4 linked regions of the Saccharomyces cerevisiae S288C genome follow. Changing the gene in region 2 together with the main gene of any one other region gives a genetic interaction. Each region holds a gene or a part of one and is shown on either strand. Other genes may lie near its edges.

Region 1 (4,424 bases), 290 kb from region 2:
CGATGGGTGTGATGCTGGACGACTATATTAGGTCATTGGCAAGCGTAAAAGCAATTTTCAATCAGAGATCCAAATTGGGGTATTTCTTGGTAGTAATAGAAAATGACATGAATAAGAAACACTCACAATTGGGCAAATTGGGTCAAAATATTCATTCAGAAAAATTCAGAGAAATGAGAAAGGAATTTCAAACATTGGAGAGAAGGTATAACCTTACAAAAAAACAATGGCAAGCGGTAGGAGATAAAATAAAAGATGAATTCCAAGGTTTCTCTACTGATAAAATTCGGGAATTCCGAAACGGCATGGAAATATCACTAGAAGCGGCCATTGAATCTCAAAAAGAATGCATCGAGCTTTGGGAGACATTCTACCAAACCAATCTTTAGATGATCTGTATACAATAACTTTATGTGTCACGTTCCTCAGGATTTATGAATTAGGAGATTTTTGTTTTATATTATTACATACTATACAGTAAGTAAAATGAATAGGTCCGTTTACAGCCAGTGCGACGTAGCATCTTTGTAAAGAGATTGCCAAATAAAGGCTTCGCTCAGAAGCATTTCAATATCCGTTTCAGTCCAGTCCTTTGTAGGAGGGTTCTGTAAGAAAGTTATAGTTTCTTGGAAATCCATTTCCATTAGCTGGTCACTCCACTTGATGAGGAATGCAGCACAAACAAACACATGAAACTCATTCAACGAAGACTGTCTCATTTTTCCACTGTCTTCAACAGCATTGTTTGGTGTCATATTAGAAAGAGCTGTGGTGGGAGATTGGAAATCTTTTGTTGGTGTAACAAAACTTGCCACTCGAGGTTCTGTTGGAGTAACAGGAGGTTTAATGTCATTGGACGACATAGAATAAGAAGAAGTGACCTCTTGTGAAGTTTCAGATAAATATGTGTCCCACATCCTTATTACTGTACCCATTTGAAATTCTCTCATCAAAAGGCAATTCATCCATCTGAATGCAAACTGTATAAACTCCACATGTTCATTTTGAAAATGGTTATATAGATCAGCATCAATTCGTTTCACTAGCTGACTCAAATTCTTCACTTGTCTTAATATGCCTGGTTGTCCGTGAATATAGTTATCGGTAATTTGTTCGAGCAATTTGGTAAGACACCAAAACGTGTCCGCTTCTAAATCTGTAATCTGTTCATCTACCATATAAGTAGAGGGGTCCTTTATCTCTACATCATCTATTTGTGAAGGCGGCAGATATTCGGTAAGAAAAGTCTCGAAAAATGGTGTAACTAAATCATTAATACCTTGCACATATCCGCTAGCAGGATGCCTGATTGCCCAAAGATATAGTATTCGTTGTAAACTGTTCTGTACGGATTTGAACTGGTAGAGGGGAATGTGGGGATTTGTTCTCGGTATATCTATCTCTATCTGATGCCAAGTTGGGATATCTCTTGAGTGCTGGTCAGAAAAGGTATGTTTCAGACTATCCCTATATTCTTTCCTCTTCCTTTGTAAGAAACCCTCCTGTCTCTTGGTGTTCACAGGCAAATAACCTATTAATAATTTCCAAACAACAGGCCTGTGTATTTTTGGGATACCATTCCAACTGATCTGGCGCAGATCCTGTTGATTTATGATTGTCTTATCTTTCAAAATATTGTCAAATTTAGAAATGCGCTGGATGATGGAGTTTAATTCTTGAACATCCCGTTCGTTTTCGATTTCCAACTGAGTTTTCTTGGAATCATTTGTTTTCTCTTTTTGCAGCTGTGGTAATTGAGGGTATGTAAAAGAGGAGGAAGAATTCCGTACTGCGGAGGTCCCCATATTCGAAATCGAATTGATGGAAGAAGAAGTGGATTTTCGCGACAAAGTTCTCGTTGGAGCTACAGGTGTACCAAATCCACCGTTAGTAAGTATAGGAATAGGCATATTATAATCGTCAATAACAGCACTCCAATCCTCATCTAAGTCTTTGAAATATCGATCACCCTTTTTGTTAGGCTCTGTACTGTTACTGCAATTGTTGCCTACACTACCACTACTGCTATGGCGGGGTTGTTGATGGTGGTGATGACGCTGGTGATGCTGACGTAAGAGTAAAGCAGGCCGGGGACTTTCGTTACTTGCAGTGCTTAGAGTGGGGTTTACATATCGTAGAGGTGAATAGGAATTCGAGGTACGTCTAGTGCTTGCTTGTTGCTTTGCCATAGCTTCAAAATTACCGTCACTGGTTCTCCGATCTCTATCTGCCGAGGAAGCATAACCCGAGGGTAAACTAGTAGATTCAGTAGTATTCATTTTGTATAACGATGGCTTCTTGGAGGAAGAAGCCGACGATATCCTCCAAGATTTCATCAGGGAAGTTACTAAACTGGAACTGTCCGAATTATGGTCCCGTTCGTGCATTTCCTTTGCAGCGGATCTCACACCCATTATATGGTTACTTTTATTAAGTGGTCGGTATTGGTGGTTGTTGTTGTTATTTGTATCCTTGATCTACTCTCCAATAATAGTTATAAAAATAGAAAGAAAACAAAACAATTAACAGCAGGACAAAAGCCAAACACTATAGCAATCTGGCTATATGATATGCAGAAAATAGTGATTACTGTGCTCTTTGCTGCATCATGCATCATATGTTTGGCATTCTGTCCTGTCAGATGAATGGGCGAAACAATTCGGGGAGCTTTGTTGCGACTTGGTACCCGGCAAGCCGCGACCTATATTTTGCATTAAACGAGTTCATCGTGGATTTATCGCCATGAGCCTTAGCTTATCAAGCCTCTCACAGACAATTAAGCAATGAAAAAGGTATACCATCGGCGCAGAATGGTTAACTAGTGGGTTCATACTGCTGTGTTATAGATTGTTACCTAAGTGATCACCAAAAAAAAGTGCAAAAAGGAAAAAAAAATAAGAGACAGGTAACTTCCACAAGCTTATTCTTCCAAAAATCAATCTTATCTTCATGCCAGCAATAGTTGCGTGCTGAGCTCAACAGTGCCCAACCCTTGTGCACCGTAGAATTGTAGAATACAAATACATAAATAAGTGTGTTCCCGAAGGACTAAGGAATGACGGCAGAGGAGTCTTGTGACCGCCCTGCTGCAAAACTTGGCAAGGACAGAAATTAAGTAATAGATACGCACAACCTTGGAGCACCAAGAAATGGCTGCAAAAGTAAATCTATAGTATTTCAAGCTGAGATATGATAATATGTTCAAAGGGCTAAAGTCTCATGAAACAGCGTCACTACAAGTCACATAAAGTTCGTACAGCAAGTCTATGCATGCTTTCCTCAAAAGAACTACCCAAATATAAACACATATACAAAAATTCAGATTTTACATTTCAGGTTTCCATAATATGTTAAAAGCTAGATCTTACATAGTGTCGGGAACAGGTCATTCTAAAAAAAGTAAAATAAAATAAAAGGGTTTCAAAGATCCATACTTCTCTACATTCTCTGACTTTTTAAAACTGTGTACTGGCGACCAATCGACAAATCTGCAACCCCAGCTTCATAAGCTTTCTCTCCCACCAGCAAAGCCTGGACCTCCCTGGTTCTAATAATGAGCGACTGAAGTTTTCCAAAAGAAACCTTCACTAAACATGTTATGCTCCTCAATCACGCGATGAAATAAAGGCCTATTTTTTGATCCAACGCCTTTGAAAATTTCCTTATGGCTGGGTGGGGTACCTACCATGAACATGTTAAAGGTAAGTGGTGGCATATTATGGAGTTACGCCCGTATACCAGAGTAATAATGTTGCCGCCGGATAGGCATGGCGCCCCCACCGGATTCTCTTGCTATATGGATGGCATAATTAGCTTATGAAAGGATTGGTAAGAATATGTCTTCTAGCAAGAAAATACTAAGAACCAATAGTTCCTTTTTTTATAAAATTATTGAGCCATACACAATAATGCCGATATTTGTCACCATAGACATACTTGACAGTAAAGTATTTGCAGCTGAGGATCGATCTGGTAGTATTCCCAAATTGTAAGATCTGTACAGATTTTCAAATGAAGCGTTGAAGTTTCCTCTTTGTATATTTGAGATCTTCATTTTATCGGATTCTTTGTCATCAGACAACTTGTTGAGTGGTACTAAAGGAGTGCTTTTCATCATCCTTTTGGTGAACGATTTCAAATACGTTAGTGTTTTCTGAGCTAGTTTTGATCAATTCAGGTGATTCGTTATCAGAACTCTCAGGTTTGTATTCGTGTCCAGTTGTGTAGCATTCGCCTAACGTGTAAGCACGGATTTCTTCCTCAGAAATTTCACTGTATGGAATCATGCCCTTCTTTCTCGCTTCTTCGTCGGTAAATGCACCATAGTAATCTTTGTCATCATGTCTAACAGTAATTTTGAATGGGAAGAAGACACATAGCCCCCAGTAAACGAAAAAAGAAATCAAAAAGGAGAAGAAAGAATC
Region 2 (3,919 bases):
ACTCATTGATCGAGTCCTTTCTTTGAGATATTAACTTGGAGTACATGTCGTACAGGGAGTACTCATCAGCGCTCTTCCCTTTTAAAGCAATTTCTTTGTTTTTTATGGCAGATAACATATTTCTGATTGCTGTCTTCTTCATCTCATCCTTGGCAATCATAGCCTTTTTCAAATCTCCTTTCAATAGGCTGACTGCAGCCGTGTAGGCTGGAGAACTGTTATAACGAATGAAGGTTAGTCTATTTGAAACAAGTGGCCTAATTGATTGTCTGAACATCTTGGAATAGTGTTATTTGCTGTATTCCCCAACTTTATCCCAAAGTCTTTTTTCTCCAGTTCATTACTTCTGTAAAAAATGTTGCAGATCCTTTTTCTTCCCTTTAATTTTGAGTCCTTCCCCCCGAAAAGTCCCAGATGCCGGGTAGATGTGATTTATATCATTTATCGTTTATAGAGTATAAATTGGGTGATGCTACACTAAGTACGTATGCTCTTCTGAACTAGACTTAGTTTGCCCGATTAGTCTTTCTCACTCTCTTTCTCGAGGTAGTTGGTCCAAAGCGATACAAAGCTTTCCGTTCTCGATACAGCGCTTGAATTCTTAGACTCATTATTCGAGATCAAGCCGGCCTGTTGTTTCTTATCTTCATCCCAGTTTAAGAAATTGGACAGTAATTCAAGAACTTCAAACTTTCTTGGGTCTGCTCTGGGTATGGACACGAAAGATATCAATAGATTGGATATCAGTTCTTTATCAACGGATTCAGAATCGCTTGATTTCTTCAACATGGCCAGTGCCTTTGTTAAATGCTCATTTAGTATAATGGCTTCGTGACGTAGTTTTCCGATCTGTAAGATGTGCTGCTTAGATTCTTCCTCATATTTTTCCTTCATAGAGGCGTCCTCCTTCATGGCTTCTAGCTGTTTTTTCATGCTTTCTAAAGCTTCTGTGTCATTGTTGTGCGTTTCTATCTCCGTGTCAAGTTGGGATCGTAAAGATTTGACTTCCTGGTCTCTCTCTCTAGCCTCTTCTTCCCTTTTGTTGTCAACTTCTTCTATCTTCAATTCCAGATCATTTAGAGAATTCTTTAATACTGCTTTCTCCTTTTCATGGGATTCCAAAGCCTGTCTCAATTCATCTCTTTCTGTTCTCAAGTCAGATATATCTTGTTTATTATTTTCTAAGATTATCATGAGTTCCTGAACTTGGAGATTTAATTGATCTTTTTCCTTCCTGTAAGTGTTAAGTTCCTTACTATGTTTTTCAATTATGTCGTGTTTTTCATCTTCCAAAGCTTCTATCCTTGATTCGTATTCCAAAAAAACCTCTTCTGTACTTTCTTGCTCCTTTTCTAGGTTTTCTAACTCTGTATTTAGGGTCACAATCGTGGATTGTAATTCAGAGTTTTCGGTCTTGGTAGCTTCAAGTTTCTTCTTCAATTTCAGATTTTGTGATTCATATTCAGTAAGCTGCTCCTGCACTTCCTCTAATTGTTTTTGTGCTTCTTTCATCTTATTAAAAATTGATTTCATAGAAGATATCTTGCTCAATAATGTGTCATACTGTGTTTTGAATTCGTCTCTTTCCTTAATAACATTTGCTAGTTCATTTTTGAAGTCTTCATTAGGCGTTTCTTGATCCTTCTTGTGGCTTAGTTCCAATTTTAAACGTTCAATTTCTTCCCTTAGTTCCTTCATCTCATCACCAGCCTTTTTGTCCTCTAAAGGATTTATGGTGTCTACAGTCAGGCCGTCATTTACTTTTTGTTTGTCTACTCCTTCAGAGAGATCTTTCCCCTCATCGTCCGGGCTTGCCACGATACCATCAGCCTCTGGATCTGTGGACATTTTTGGAGGAACGGTGACGTTTACAGAATTGATGATTTCTTCAGGTTTATTGACGGTTTCATCAACGTCCTCCACATGAGGATGACTCTTGGCCTTCTTACCTGTTTTCTTCTTATTTTTACCCATTCTAATTAAAAAAAATGCAATTGTTTGAGGGGATCAAGTGGAAAGTATACACAAGCATCTACTATATAGCTGTTTATACAAGATTTTCTTGTTCTTCATGAATGGTCTTTCTGTTTGTTTCCATTTTTCGTATCGAAATGAGCACGAAATTCAAAAAGAAGTACTGAAAAAAAAATCAACATGAGAAGGAACAGCCGATCTCTCAGCGAAAACAGTGGCTTCGTTGAATACGCTGCTTGATCCTTACACAATAAGGAATTGGGTATCTCGCAGTTAATTTTATAACTTCAAGTCACTTCATAATAAACTAAGCTGAAGAAAATGGTCAATATTTCTGATTTCTTTGGTAAAAATAAGAAATCCGTAAGATCGTCAACATCCAGACCTACGAGACAGGTGGGTTCGTCTAAACCAGAAGTTATCGACTTAGATACTGAATCTGACCAAGAATCAACCAATAAAACACCAAAGAAGATGCCTGTAAGTAATGTAATTGATGTATCAGAGACACCTGAAGGAGAAAAAAAGCTACCTCTTCCCGCTAAGAGGAAGGCCTCTTCACCAACTGTAAAGCCAGCAAGTTCAAAAAAAACCAAACCCTCCTCTAAAAGTTCAGACTCGGCTTCGAATATTACGGCTCAAGATGTACTAGATAAGATTCCATCCTTGGATCTGTCAAATGTTCATGTGAAAGAGAATGCTAAATTTGATTTCAAAAGCGCAAATTCAAATGCGGATCCAGATGAAATTGTTTCTGAAATAGGTAGTTTTCCAGAAGGAAAGCCAAATTGTTTATTAGGTCTAACAATTGTCTTCACAGGTGTTCTGCCAACCTTGGAGCGTGGTGCATCGGAAGCTTTAGCGAAAAGATACGGAGCAAGGGTTACTAAATCAATTTCAAGCAAAACTTCTGTAGTAGTCTTAGGTGATGAAGCAGGGCCAAAGAAACTAGAAAAAATCAAGCAATTGAAAATCAAAGCCATAGACGAAGAAGGCTTTAAGCAATTAATTGCTGGGATGCCTGCTGAAGGTGGTGACGGGGAAGCTGCCGAAAAAGCACGTCGAAAATTAGAAGAACAGCATAATATTGCTACCAAAGAAGCAGAATTGCTTGTTAAGAAAGAAGAGGAAAGGTCGAAGAAGCTTGCAGCCACTAGAGTTTCTGGTGGCCATCTGGAGAGAGACAATGTGGTTAGGGAAGAAGATAAATTGTGGACAGTAAAGTACGCACCAACGAATCTACAACAGGTCTGTGGTAACAAAGGAAGTGTAATGAAATTAAAAAACTGGTTGGCTAATTGGGAAAATTCAAAGAAAAATAGTTTTAAACATGCTGGTAAAGATGGCTCTGGTGTTTTCAGGGCTGCAATGTTATACGGTCCTCCTGGTATTGGGAAGACAACTGCTGCTCATTTAGTTGCACAAGAGCTTGGGTATGACATTCTTGAACAAAACGCTTCTGATGTTCGCTCTAAAACTTTACTTAATGCCGGTGTTAAAAACGCTCTTGATAACATGTCTGTAGTGGGATATTTCAAACACAACGAAGAAGCTCAAAATTTGAACGGGAAACATTTTGTCATTATCATGGATGAAGTTGATGGTATGAGCGGAGGCGATAGGGGGGGAGTTGGCCAGCTGGCACAGTTTTGTCGTAAGACGTCAACTCCATTGATTCTAATTTGTAATGAACGTAATTTACCAAAAATGAGACCATTCGATAGAGTATGTCTTGATATCCAATTTAGAAGACCTGATGCTAACAGTATCAAATCAAGATTAATGACAATTGCGATCAGAGAAAAGTTCAAACTTGATCCAAATGTCATTGATAGGTTGATACAGACTACAAGAGGTGATATCCGCCAGGTTATTAATCTACTTTCAACGATATCTACGACTACTAAAACCATAAACCATGAAAATATCAACGAGATCTCAAAGG
Region 3 (6,113 bases), on a different chromosome or scaffold from region 2:
ATAAATGGACTAAGGATCTGGGTTGTTGGTCGTTATATAAATAATAAGCTTATACCCCTTCCTTTGGACAAGTTTTTTCCCTCATAATTACGTCTATATTTTATAAATATCATTGTAGTATTCGCATTGTTTAAGTGGTTACCATTTGAAACGACTCATACAGACAAGCGGTTACAGATGAAGCTTTCTGAAGGCACAGATCAGAAGTATTTTAATGTCGGTTGTCTATTAGTGGAACCAAAGTGACTACACACCTCCTCTGTCTGGAAGAAATAAATTCTTAGGGTCGACTCCACCATTTCAACTTTAGTATAATATGACAATAAAACATTATTGGGACTGAGAACGATTATATTAAAATTAGTAAAATACATACATAACTACTTATAAAAAAAAAAAGAGAAATTTGCCATTTTCACGAGTATAAGCACAGATTGTACGAAACTATTTCATATAGCTTGTTTTAGTTATTATCCTATAAAATCTTAAAATACATTAATCTAGAATCCAAACGGATTTGATGCAGTAGCATTGAATATGTTGGCTTGCCTTGATTGTTGAGGTCCATTACCAAACCCAAATCCAGTAGGTTGGTTCTGTAATGCTTGTTGTTGTGGTTGTTGCATAGCACCCCCAGTGTTAAAAGTGTTCATCATCTGTGGTTGTTGCATAATTCCATCGGTGTTGAATGTGTTCATCATCTGTGGTTGTTGCATAGCACCACCAGTATTGAAAGTAGTCATCATTTGGAGCTCTTGCATAACACCACCAGTATTGAAGGTATTCATCGTTTGTGGTTGCTGTTGTTGAAGAACGCCCCCTGTACTTAAAGTATTCATGGCTCCACCAGTGAACTGGTTCTGGTTTAATGGCGCAATACCTCCGGTTTTTTGTAAAGTCAAACCGAATTGGGATTGCGGCCGGAACCCGCCAGTGTTTTGAGCTTGAGAGCTGAACGAAGTCTGGGGAATCATGGCGCCTCCAGTATTAAATGTATTCAAAGCACCACCAGTTCTCTGCAAAGGCATCATTGCTCCCCCTGTAACTTGTGGTAAAGCATTGAAGGACGTTTGAGGCATCATTGCTCCTCCAGTAATTTGTGGTACAGCATTGAAGGATGTTTGAGGCATCATGGCACTCCCTGTATTTTGAGGTTGGGTCATCATTGCACCACCTGTTAATTGCTGTGAAACGCCAAATGATGTTTGTGGAATCATAGTGCCGCCTGTTCTTTGTACAGTTGGCATTGAGACACCAGTATTAGCTGAAATTAATCCATTAGCAGTTTTTTGGACAGGTAATATTGAACCTGTTGGAAGTTGTTGTTGCCCCTGAACATTGAATGAAGTTTGCGGGAATTGCGCACCTCCTGTGGTGGCAATTGGTATTAGGCCACCTCCAGTTTTTTGCAGAGGTAAGACGGTAGCTGCTGCGCCGAACGTAGTTTGTGGCATCATTGCGCCGCCAGTGTTAGAGATAGGAATTAACCCATTTCCTGTCTTTTGAACAGGTAGGATACCACCAGTAACTTGCGATTGCATACCAAAAGTTGTTTGTGGTACAACGAAGCCGCCGGTTCTTTGCATAGGCAGCATATCGCCCCCAGTAATCATTGGCATCATCACAAAGCCAGTAGATAAGGGTAAGATATTGTTGCCACCGGTTTTGAATGGATCCAATGGAGCGGGAGCAGATGAAACCGGAGCAGATGAAACCGGAGCAGCAGGAACAGTGGTGCCGCCAGTTTTCACGGGTTCCAAATCTTTTAGGTTTGGTTCAGGTGTCGAGGCAGCTGCCTTTTTAGGTTCTAAAGGTTGCAAGTCTAATAAATCCTGCATGGAACCAGTAAATTCTGATTTCTTAGAGAGTAAATTAGATTCAGACTTAGAAGCCGGTTTAACAGTCCAAGCATCATCTGTCTCAGCTGATGTGGAAGGAGCTGTTTGAGCAGGACTTGTTGTTTGTGGCAACAATTGCTGAGGCAGTGAGGTTTCCGGACTTGTAGCAACGTTCAATGAACCATCAGGTTGTGAAAACATATTTCCAGTGGCATTTGTAGGAATTGATGCAATATTTTCTCTTCCAAATTTCTTGTCAAGATGTTTCATTACTCTAACAATATCACCTTCGCGCAGACCCAAGGTTCTTAACATTGAGTTATTGATGTCAGGCATCATGTCTTCAGTAAGCTGTTCTCTATCAAAATTTATTGTATATCTTTGACAATTGCTTACATCAACGCCGCAATTCAAGAAAAATTCGAACCAATCATATTTGTTACTGGAGTTGTTGTTATTGCTGCTTTCGGCTGGTGGTACGGACGTCGTATTTGGAACGGAGGTAGTAGAGGTTGGTCTTGGTGGTTTTATTGGAGGCAATTCCTTTTCTTGCAACCTTGATCTTTCTTCATCTAGGAGTTCTCTGGCTTTTTTCAATTCGTATAATTCACGCTCTTTCAATCTCCTATCGCGTTCTTTTTCCTCCTGCTCCTTCAATCTCCTTCTTCTTTCTCTTTCAGAGTCTCTTGAATCAGTGCCACGGGAACTAGACCCATCATTCGCCTTAAATTTCTCTAAGGAGAACCCAGTAATTTTTTCCACATACGCTAAATCTTCATTGGATAGTTTATCAGCGGCGACAGCAATCTTGACACCATTAGCCTTGTGCAAGTGGATTTTCCCCTTAGCACATCCAATGAATTCTGCATCCACTTTGAAAGTACCACTTCTATCAACCCATAGACGCGATTTTTTTGGATTGGGGAAATCTTTGGTCGCCGAAGAGTTTTTTTTGTGAGAGGACAATGAACTTTTTCTTGACCTTTTACCGGCAGCACTACCTACAACATCGTTTTGTAGTTCATCATCTTTCCAACTGGCATTGGCATTGGATTTAGATCTTGATCTAGATCTCGACCTAGATGGAGATTTGGTGAAGTTTTTCTTGATAGACTTGATGATACCGCTTGCTGTAGATTCAGTATGTTTTTTGTCACGAACAGGCTCAATAAACTGTGCAGGAACGAGACCGCTTTTCCCTGAATCAACCAGTTGGCACATCCACCAGTCCTTAGATTTTTTATCATCTAAAATGTAGACTTTATCGCCTGATTTTATGGTTAATTCGTCCTGTGATTCAGCCATGAAGTCATATTGAACAATACCTCTCTTTTTGGATTTGGAAGCCATTTCGACTTCTCTCAACCCAGGATCACGGGAAGCACCTTTATATTCACCAATAATGTTCATGATCTCTTCACATGTGGTGGTATTACCAGTGTGTAATTCAAGGCTTCTATATGGATCAACAAATTCCAAGAACATGTGTTTCTTTTCGTTATCATAAGAGACCAATTTATCAATTGACCACTCATGAGGAGTCCCCTTTTGGGGTATGAAGTTTATCTTGTTGTTACCGATTGATAGCTTGGCCTTCTTCTTTTTCCTTCCCTCGATTTCGGTAACGTTCCAAGAGTGATACTCTGTATTGTATTCGTGATTTCCAACGTTGTTGCTGTTGCTGTTGTAATAGTAATCATCCTCTTCATCGTCATTATCGTTATCGCTGTATGATAGTCTTGTACGAGATCGAACAGCCGCAGCGGTGGCATCAGTAGTTTCGGTAGTAGCCGTTGGTCTTGCAGGCATGGCAGGAGGAGGGCCCTCTTCATCCTCATCTGGAGCTTGGTCTTCTTTACTTTGCATCATACGAGCTCTATCATTGTGTTGAGGAGGTGGTAAAAAGTTGGTGGGTAGTACGGCAGCAGAAGCAGGAGCGGCTGCAGGAGTAGCTGCAGGAGCTTCAGCGGCAGCGGGAGCCTGTTCCTGCTTGGAAGTGGACCCATTCTCTGGTTCGACGTAATTGCCTGGAATGAAGCCGAATTCATTGGAAACGGTAGACTTAACCAACAGCCAATCAGCATCTTTATCATCGAATACATCAAAAACGTCATTTTCATGAAACGTCAATTCTTCATCAGCATTTTGCACCTGTTCATAATCATAAATGGCTCTTACCTTCTTCAAAACAGGAGCTTCTTCAATGTAAGTGGAGGGCACTAGACCCACCGGTTCTTCGCTATCGGAACCAATGACTCTTTTCTTTACTGTCCACCAATCGTCAATGTCTGACTTCTGTAAGAGGTACAACAGATCGTCTTCTTGGATGGCCAGTTCTTCTGGTGTCTGCGGCTCATAGGCATAGACGGCCCTATAGATGCCCAGAAACACAGTCATACTCTAGCTCTTTTGTATATAACACACTCTGTCGCCTTGGCTATGTTACACTATCCCTTCTTTTAGGATTGCAATAGATATACATAGTATATATGCGCTAAATATTCGTTCTGTTTTCGTCTGATGTATCTCGATTTCGCATGAGTGGAAGGAAGCCCCTTTTAGGAATCGTATAGTCACTTTCTACGAAGCAACATTCTACCTCTATCAATTACATGGTTTAATCTACGCAGGCATGTTCTCTAAGTTGAGACCGCCTATGGGAACCTATAAATCGTGATTGACACCGTTTGCATATTATCACTTTTCTTTTCCTTTTAGCCTCGCTATTCCTGGGGCTCTCTATGTGTGATTGGAAGGGTAGAGACAATTGTCCTGCGCCGGCAAGAAAAACATCGTGTGTCTCTAGAGCAGCTTTGCATTCTAATGTGCGGTGGAAATGGTGCGAAAAGTCGACACTTGACAGGGCTTCCAACTGCTGGCGTGGCACATAACTGCCCAGCAGTGAATGGCCTACTTCATACTCCACCTGTGCCGCATCGGCGAGCGACACTTTACCGCCTAGGTAACCATGTACAGCTACTCTTTTGGGCTTGGATACCTTCGCTTTACTATTCTCACTGCCCTCTATGCCCTTGTCGGTAGCATGAGATTGTTGCGTAAGCTGTTGAAGCTCAGTCGCACTGAACACTACCTGGGATGACTTTTCCAGCGCTGAAAGCCCTGCGAGTACGTCATAGTATCCCATATTACTTCCACTCATTCTCAGCTATTCCTTGTTAACACCGTGCTCTGCTGCTTTCAGGTAAAGCCATTATTTCCACGACAACTGCATTTCACTTTTCATTTTCTTCCAGAACAACAGGCGCTGCCCTTGTTTCCGCGGAGCTGCCTCCTCTGCCGCTCGGACTTTCCGCGGAATAATAAATGAACTATCACAGTGAGTCTTAGAATGCAAATATGTAGATACTGTTATAGAATCTCATTAATGTATTTATGTATTTCCTGTGTTTGTGTCTTCAGGAGCCTTCCAAAGCAACCATAGGTCTTAGGCGACAACTGCATCAGCAGTTTTATTAATTTTTTCTTATTGCGTGACCGCAATGAAAGTGAAGAAATCAACTAGATCAAAAGTTTCGACAGCATGTGTCAATTGCAGAAAAAGGAAAATCAAATGCACAGGTAAATATCCATGTACCAACTGCATTTCTTACGATTGTACGTGTGTATTCCTAAAAAAACATTTACCGCAGAAGGAGGATAGTTCCCAGTCTTTGCCTACTACAGCTGTTGCTCCACCCTCTTCCCACGCCAATGTAGAGGCTTCAGCAGATGTACAGCATCTGGACACTGCGATTAAGCTAGATAATCAATATTACTTCAAACTGATGAACGACCTGATACAGACTCCAGTCTCTCCGAGTGCGACGCATGCTCCTGATACTTCCAATAATCCTACTAATGATAATAATATTCTCTTTAAAGATGATTCCAAATATCAAAATCAACTGGTTACGTATCAAAATATTCTGACAAATTTGTACGCTCTGCCGCCTTGTGATGACACTCAGCTCTTGATTGATAAAACGAAGTCGCAGTTGAATAACCTGATTAACAGTTGGAATCCCGAAATAAACTACCCCAAGCTTTCCAGTTTCTCTCCTCGCCCACAAAGATCGATAGAAACGTATCTTTTAACCAACAAGTATAGAAATAAAATACACATGACGAGGTTCTCCTTTTGGACAGACCAAATGGTTAAATCACAAAGTCCAGATTCATTTCTAGCCACCACTCCACTAGTAGATGAAGTATTTGGTCTTTTCTCTCCAATACAGGCTTTTTCACTAAGAGGTATAGGATATTTAATTAAAAAAA
Region 4 (2,993 bases), on a different chromosome or scaffold from region 2:
GATCCCGTTCCGTACAGAAGAATTAACGGGAAACAAATTTTGAACAGTGAATGGGGAAGGGAGATAAAATGCTGCCATAATGGGCGCGCATTGAAATAAACGAGTACTTCACTTTCAAATATCACGATATTTTGGAACAATTCGGTATTTTTTACTTAATCTAGTACACTAAGGAATGCTTTGTTATCCGGCATTCGTATCTTATTCCTCGCTTCTATTGTTCTACTTTTATATCCCGTTTGGCTGATTACGGATCACGTTCAAATTGGTAAATCCCATTAATTAAAAAAGAATTGTAACCTTATTTAAAAAAAAAAATAGTACATAACAATAAAAAAAAAAAAGATAATAATTTTGAATTTATTGCTAGACATTCTTACGTTTATTGTGTTCATGTTAACAAAAACACATGCCCGCGGTTATTATCGCTTTTTAATTGCTTTCTTAAAAAGAGTCGGTTGGTCAGATAGAGCAGATAGTAAATTATAGTGCTATTTAGGTCTGTTAATTTAAATGAAAGAAACATAAATGACCGTAAAAAACTAAAGGCAAAAGCATTAATTTATTTTATCCCGAGCGCACAAATATCTAGGCTTGTCATTTGTCCTAATAGTTCTTCGATTTTAGTGTCTAATAACCCATTGGCATAGTCGTCTCTTGATTGTTGGTCCAAATATTGTTGAATCTGCGCTAAACGAGTGTAACCATCAGTACAGAACCTTAGCTGAATCTTGATTAAAGCTTCAAAACTTGGGTCAAAGTAAGGTACTCTTAATGAAACTAACTGTGGTAGTTCAGTTTTCAATTGGTTATTAAGATTTTCGAAAATATCTTTAGCTAAGCTCAATTCTTTTTCAGCCCTTGGCAGTTTAGAGGCATCTTTAGCAGGTTTGTCCACTAATCTACGAACTTTTGCCTTCGCAGCATCGAAGTCTTGTTTCTTATGGTCTCTCTTTTTTATGGCCTCCTCAATTTCTTTGAAATACGTCGAAAACTTTGTTATTGGATCTAGTACGGTTTCTCTTAAGGGCCCGTCTAATTGCTTAACAGTTTCGCTATCAAAATCTTGAACACATTGCAAATAATAGTTACCAACGTTGTAACCACCACCAGCAACATATTTTGAATCGTCATAGAGGTTAGAGATGACCTCGGCAATGGTAGTCTGTGATGCTGTCACAGCTCTCAATGAGTCCAAGAAACCTTTGGCTTCCTTTTGTAATGCCTCACCTGCTCTTTGAAGAACTTTATAACGACGTTCTTCCATGTCATACTCTTTATCAATGGTCTTGTCGACATTCTTAATTATCACACTGTGACCAGCTCTGTTGATAGCTTTCTTAAAACCTTCCCAACTCATCTTGTATCAGCTTTCTTCTGGCTTCTTATAATAGGATTTGTATAGTTTTCTATATCACAGCGTTTCCTTTTCTTCTCTCACGTCTGCCTGTTATTAAATTTGTTTTCCCTTTCTTTTAATTCGGATTCTCATAATTGTTCAAAATCCGCGCATTTGGATCGTCCAGCCCCTGCAGCGCCCAGTTCAGCCAACAAAAATTCATAGGGACGTAAAGGAAACGTTTCATGTCTGTTACAATGAAAAAGACAAGTCGAATCACATTATGAATGGCAAACGATAGACCTTTCGTTGCCTTTCAATTACATGATATTCGTGGCAACATCTTCTCCGCTAACCTAAAAGTTTTATCAGAAACATATATCTTATTTTTTCTGAAGTAAAATCAAAGTGCAGGGAAGACAAGTAAAGGAGTCAGCAAAAAAGTGAAGTAAACTTATATGTTAACTGTTTATAACCGTACCTTGCTTACATCATCTATATTTTCGTAATCATTTTTGTACATTGTTTATATCTTGTTTTGAAGTTTTAGCTTTGAAAAACATTTAATTGCGAAGTAACATAATGTTATTAATAGTGTACGACTGAAACAGCCATTCTATTTAAACATATAAAAGTACGATTAGTTGGTGTGGTTATATAAGTCATAAAATAATTATCATATTAAAAAATTGAAAAATAAAAAACTACTCTTTTTTATTTCAATAGTTCTCGTTATTAGTAGGTCGTGCTCTTAAAAGATTACCCTTTCAGTAGATGGTAATGGGAATGGACGAGCCAGTACATATGAATTCTGCTTTGTAGCAACACCTGCATATGCGTTGTACCAAGCAATGAAAGCAACAACAACTCCCAGGACACCACCAGCTCTTGTGACACCAAGTCTATTAGCAAAGTGACCAATAGACAACAGTAGGAAAGTTAATGCTAGTAAGAAGAACAACAAAAAGAACATAACAGTGGATTTCATGGTACAAACGGTTAAACCAAACGTAAAGATGGCCCACCCCAACAAATAAAATCCTAAAGCATTATTCAAATCAGATTCATTGTCTTCGTAAGCTTCCAAGATACCAAACCAAGGAATGTAAATTGCAGCGAAACTCAACCAAAACCCACCGTAAGAACATAATGCGGTACCACCAAAAGTATTTTCCAAAGCTATCTCCCAAATACCAGCAATCAATTGCACCAAACCACCATAAAACATAGCACAACCGACGACAACATTAGGAACAGTGATCCCTTGCGCTCTCGCATTGAACATGGACAGCACAAATGTCGTCAACGCGAAGGCTGAAAGACCTAAGGGCGCAGGATTAGCAAATTTGTGCACTGGAGCAGGAGCTAACCCTGGATTCAAGGTACCACCAAAGGCTTGGTATAAGTCGCTCTTCAAAAACTTTTGACGCCCAATATAGATATATTCATTGTTATCACCTCCAGTGTAAATCTTGCCCAACGAATCATGAGATGGACGTTCATCTTCTGCAACGCCATTAACGTCGTTATCATGGGAACTATAGTATCCTGCTGGTGCATTCTCCAAATCTGTGTTTCCGCTCGTTTGTTCCTTGTCAGACATATTATTTGTTTGTATATGAGTTGTTTTGTGGTTGTTTAGTTATATCTGTGT

Evidence for each region.
Region 1: mutations in RUD3 (region 2) and GYP1 together harm fitness more than expected from each alone (negative genetic interaction), as found in Saccharomyces cerevisiae (7 studies listed by BioGRID, with this or other methods).
Region 3: mutations in RUD3 (region 2) and SLA1 together harm fitness more than expected from each alone (negative genetic interaction), as found in Saccharomyces cerevisiae (5 studies listed by BioGRID).
Region 4: mutations in RUD3 (region 2) and RVS161 together harm fitness more than expected from each alone (negative genetic interaction), as found in Saccharomyces cerevisiae (6 studies listed by BioGRID, with this or other methods).

What each region holds. Positions count from the first base shown.
Region 1 is NC_001147.6:455,407-459,830, forward strand, and holds GYP1 (GTPase-activating protein GYP1), read right to left. Parts: upstream 2,415-4,424; coding exon 501-2,414; downstream 1-500. Other genes in the region: VPS5 (sorting nexin 1), read left to right, coding at 1-389; NRT1 (nicotinamide riboside transporter), read right to left, coding at 4,074-4,424. UniProt on the Saccharomyces cerevisiae protein: GTPase-activating protein (GAP) that stimulates specifically the intrinsic GTPase activity of Ypt/Rab-type GTPases YPT1 and YPT7. Functions on the Golgi as a negative regulator of YPT1. Functions on the vacuole as a negative regulator of YPT7.
Region 2 is NC_001147.6:747,006-750,924, forward strand, and holds RUD3 (Rud3p), read right to left. Parts: upstream 1,975-3,919; coding exon 520-1,974; downstream 1-519. Other genes in the region: AIM41 (Aim41p), read right to left, coding at 1-277; RFC1 (replication factor C subunit 1), read left to right, coding at 2,296-3,919. UniProt on the Saccharomyces cerevisiae protein: Involved in the structural organization of the cis-Golgi and in vesicle targeting/fusion stages of ER to Golgi transport.
Region 3 is NC_001134.8:212,132-218,244, forward strand, and holds SLA1 (cytoskeletal protein-binding protein SLA1), read right to left. Parts: upstream 4,236-6,113; coding exon 501-4,235; downstream 1-500. Other genes in the region: HIR1 (Hir1p), read left to right, coding at 1-44; LDB7 (Ldb7p), read right to left, coding at 4,456-4,998; drug-responsive transcription factor PDR3, read left to right, coding at 5,339-6,113. UniProt on the Saccharomyces cerevisiae protein: Component of the PAN1 actin cytoskeleton-regulatory complex required for the internalization of endosomes during actin-coupled endocytosis. The complex links the site of endocytosis to the cell membrane-associated actin cytoskeleton.
Region 4 is NC_001135.5:130,183-133,175, forward strand, and holds RVS161 (amphiphysin-like protein RVS161), read right to left. Parts: upstream 1,361-2,993; coding exon 563-1,360; downstream 1-562. Other genes in the region: serine/threonine protein kinase SAT4, read left to right, coding at 1-99; ADY2 (Ady2p), read right to left, coding at 2,091-2,942. UniProt on the Saccharomyces cerevisiae protein: Component of a cytoskeletal structure that is required for the formation of endocytic vesicles at the plasma membrane level.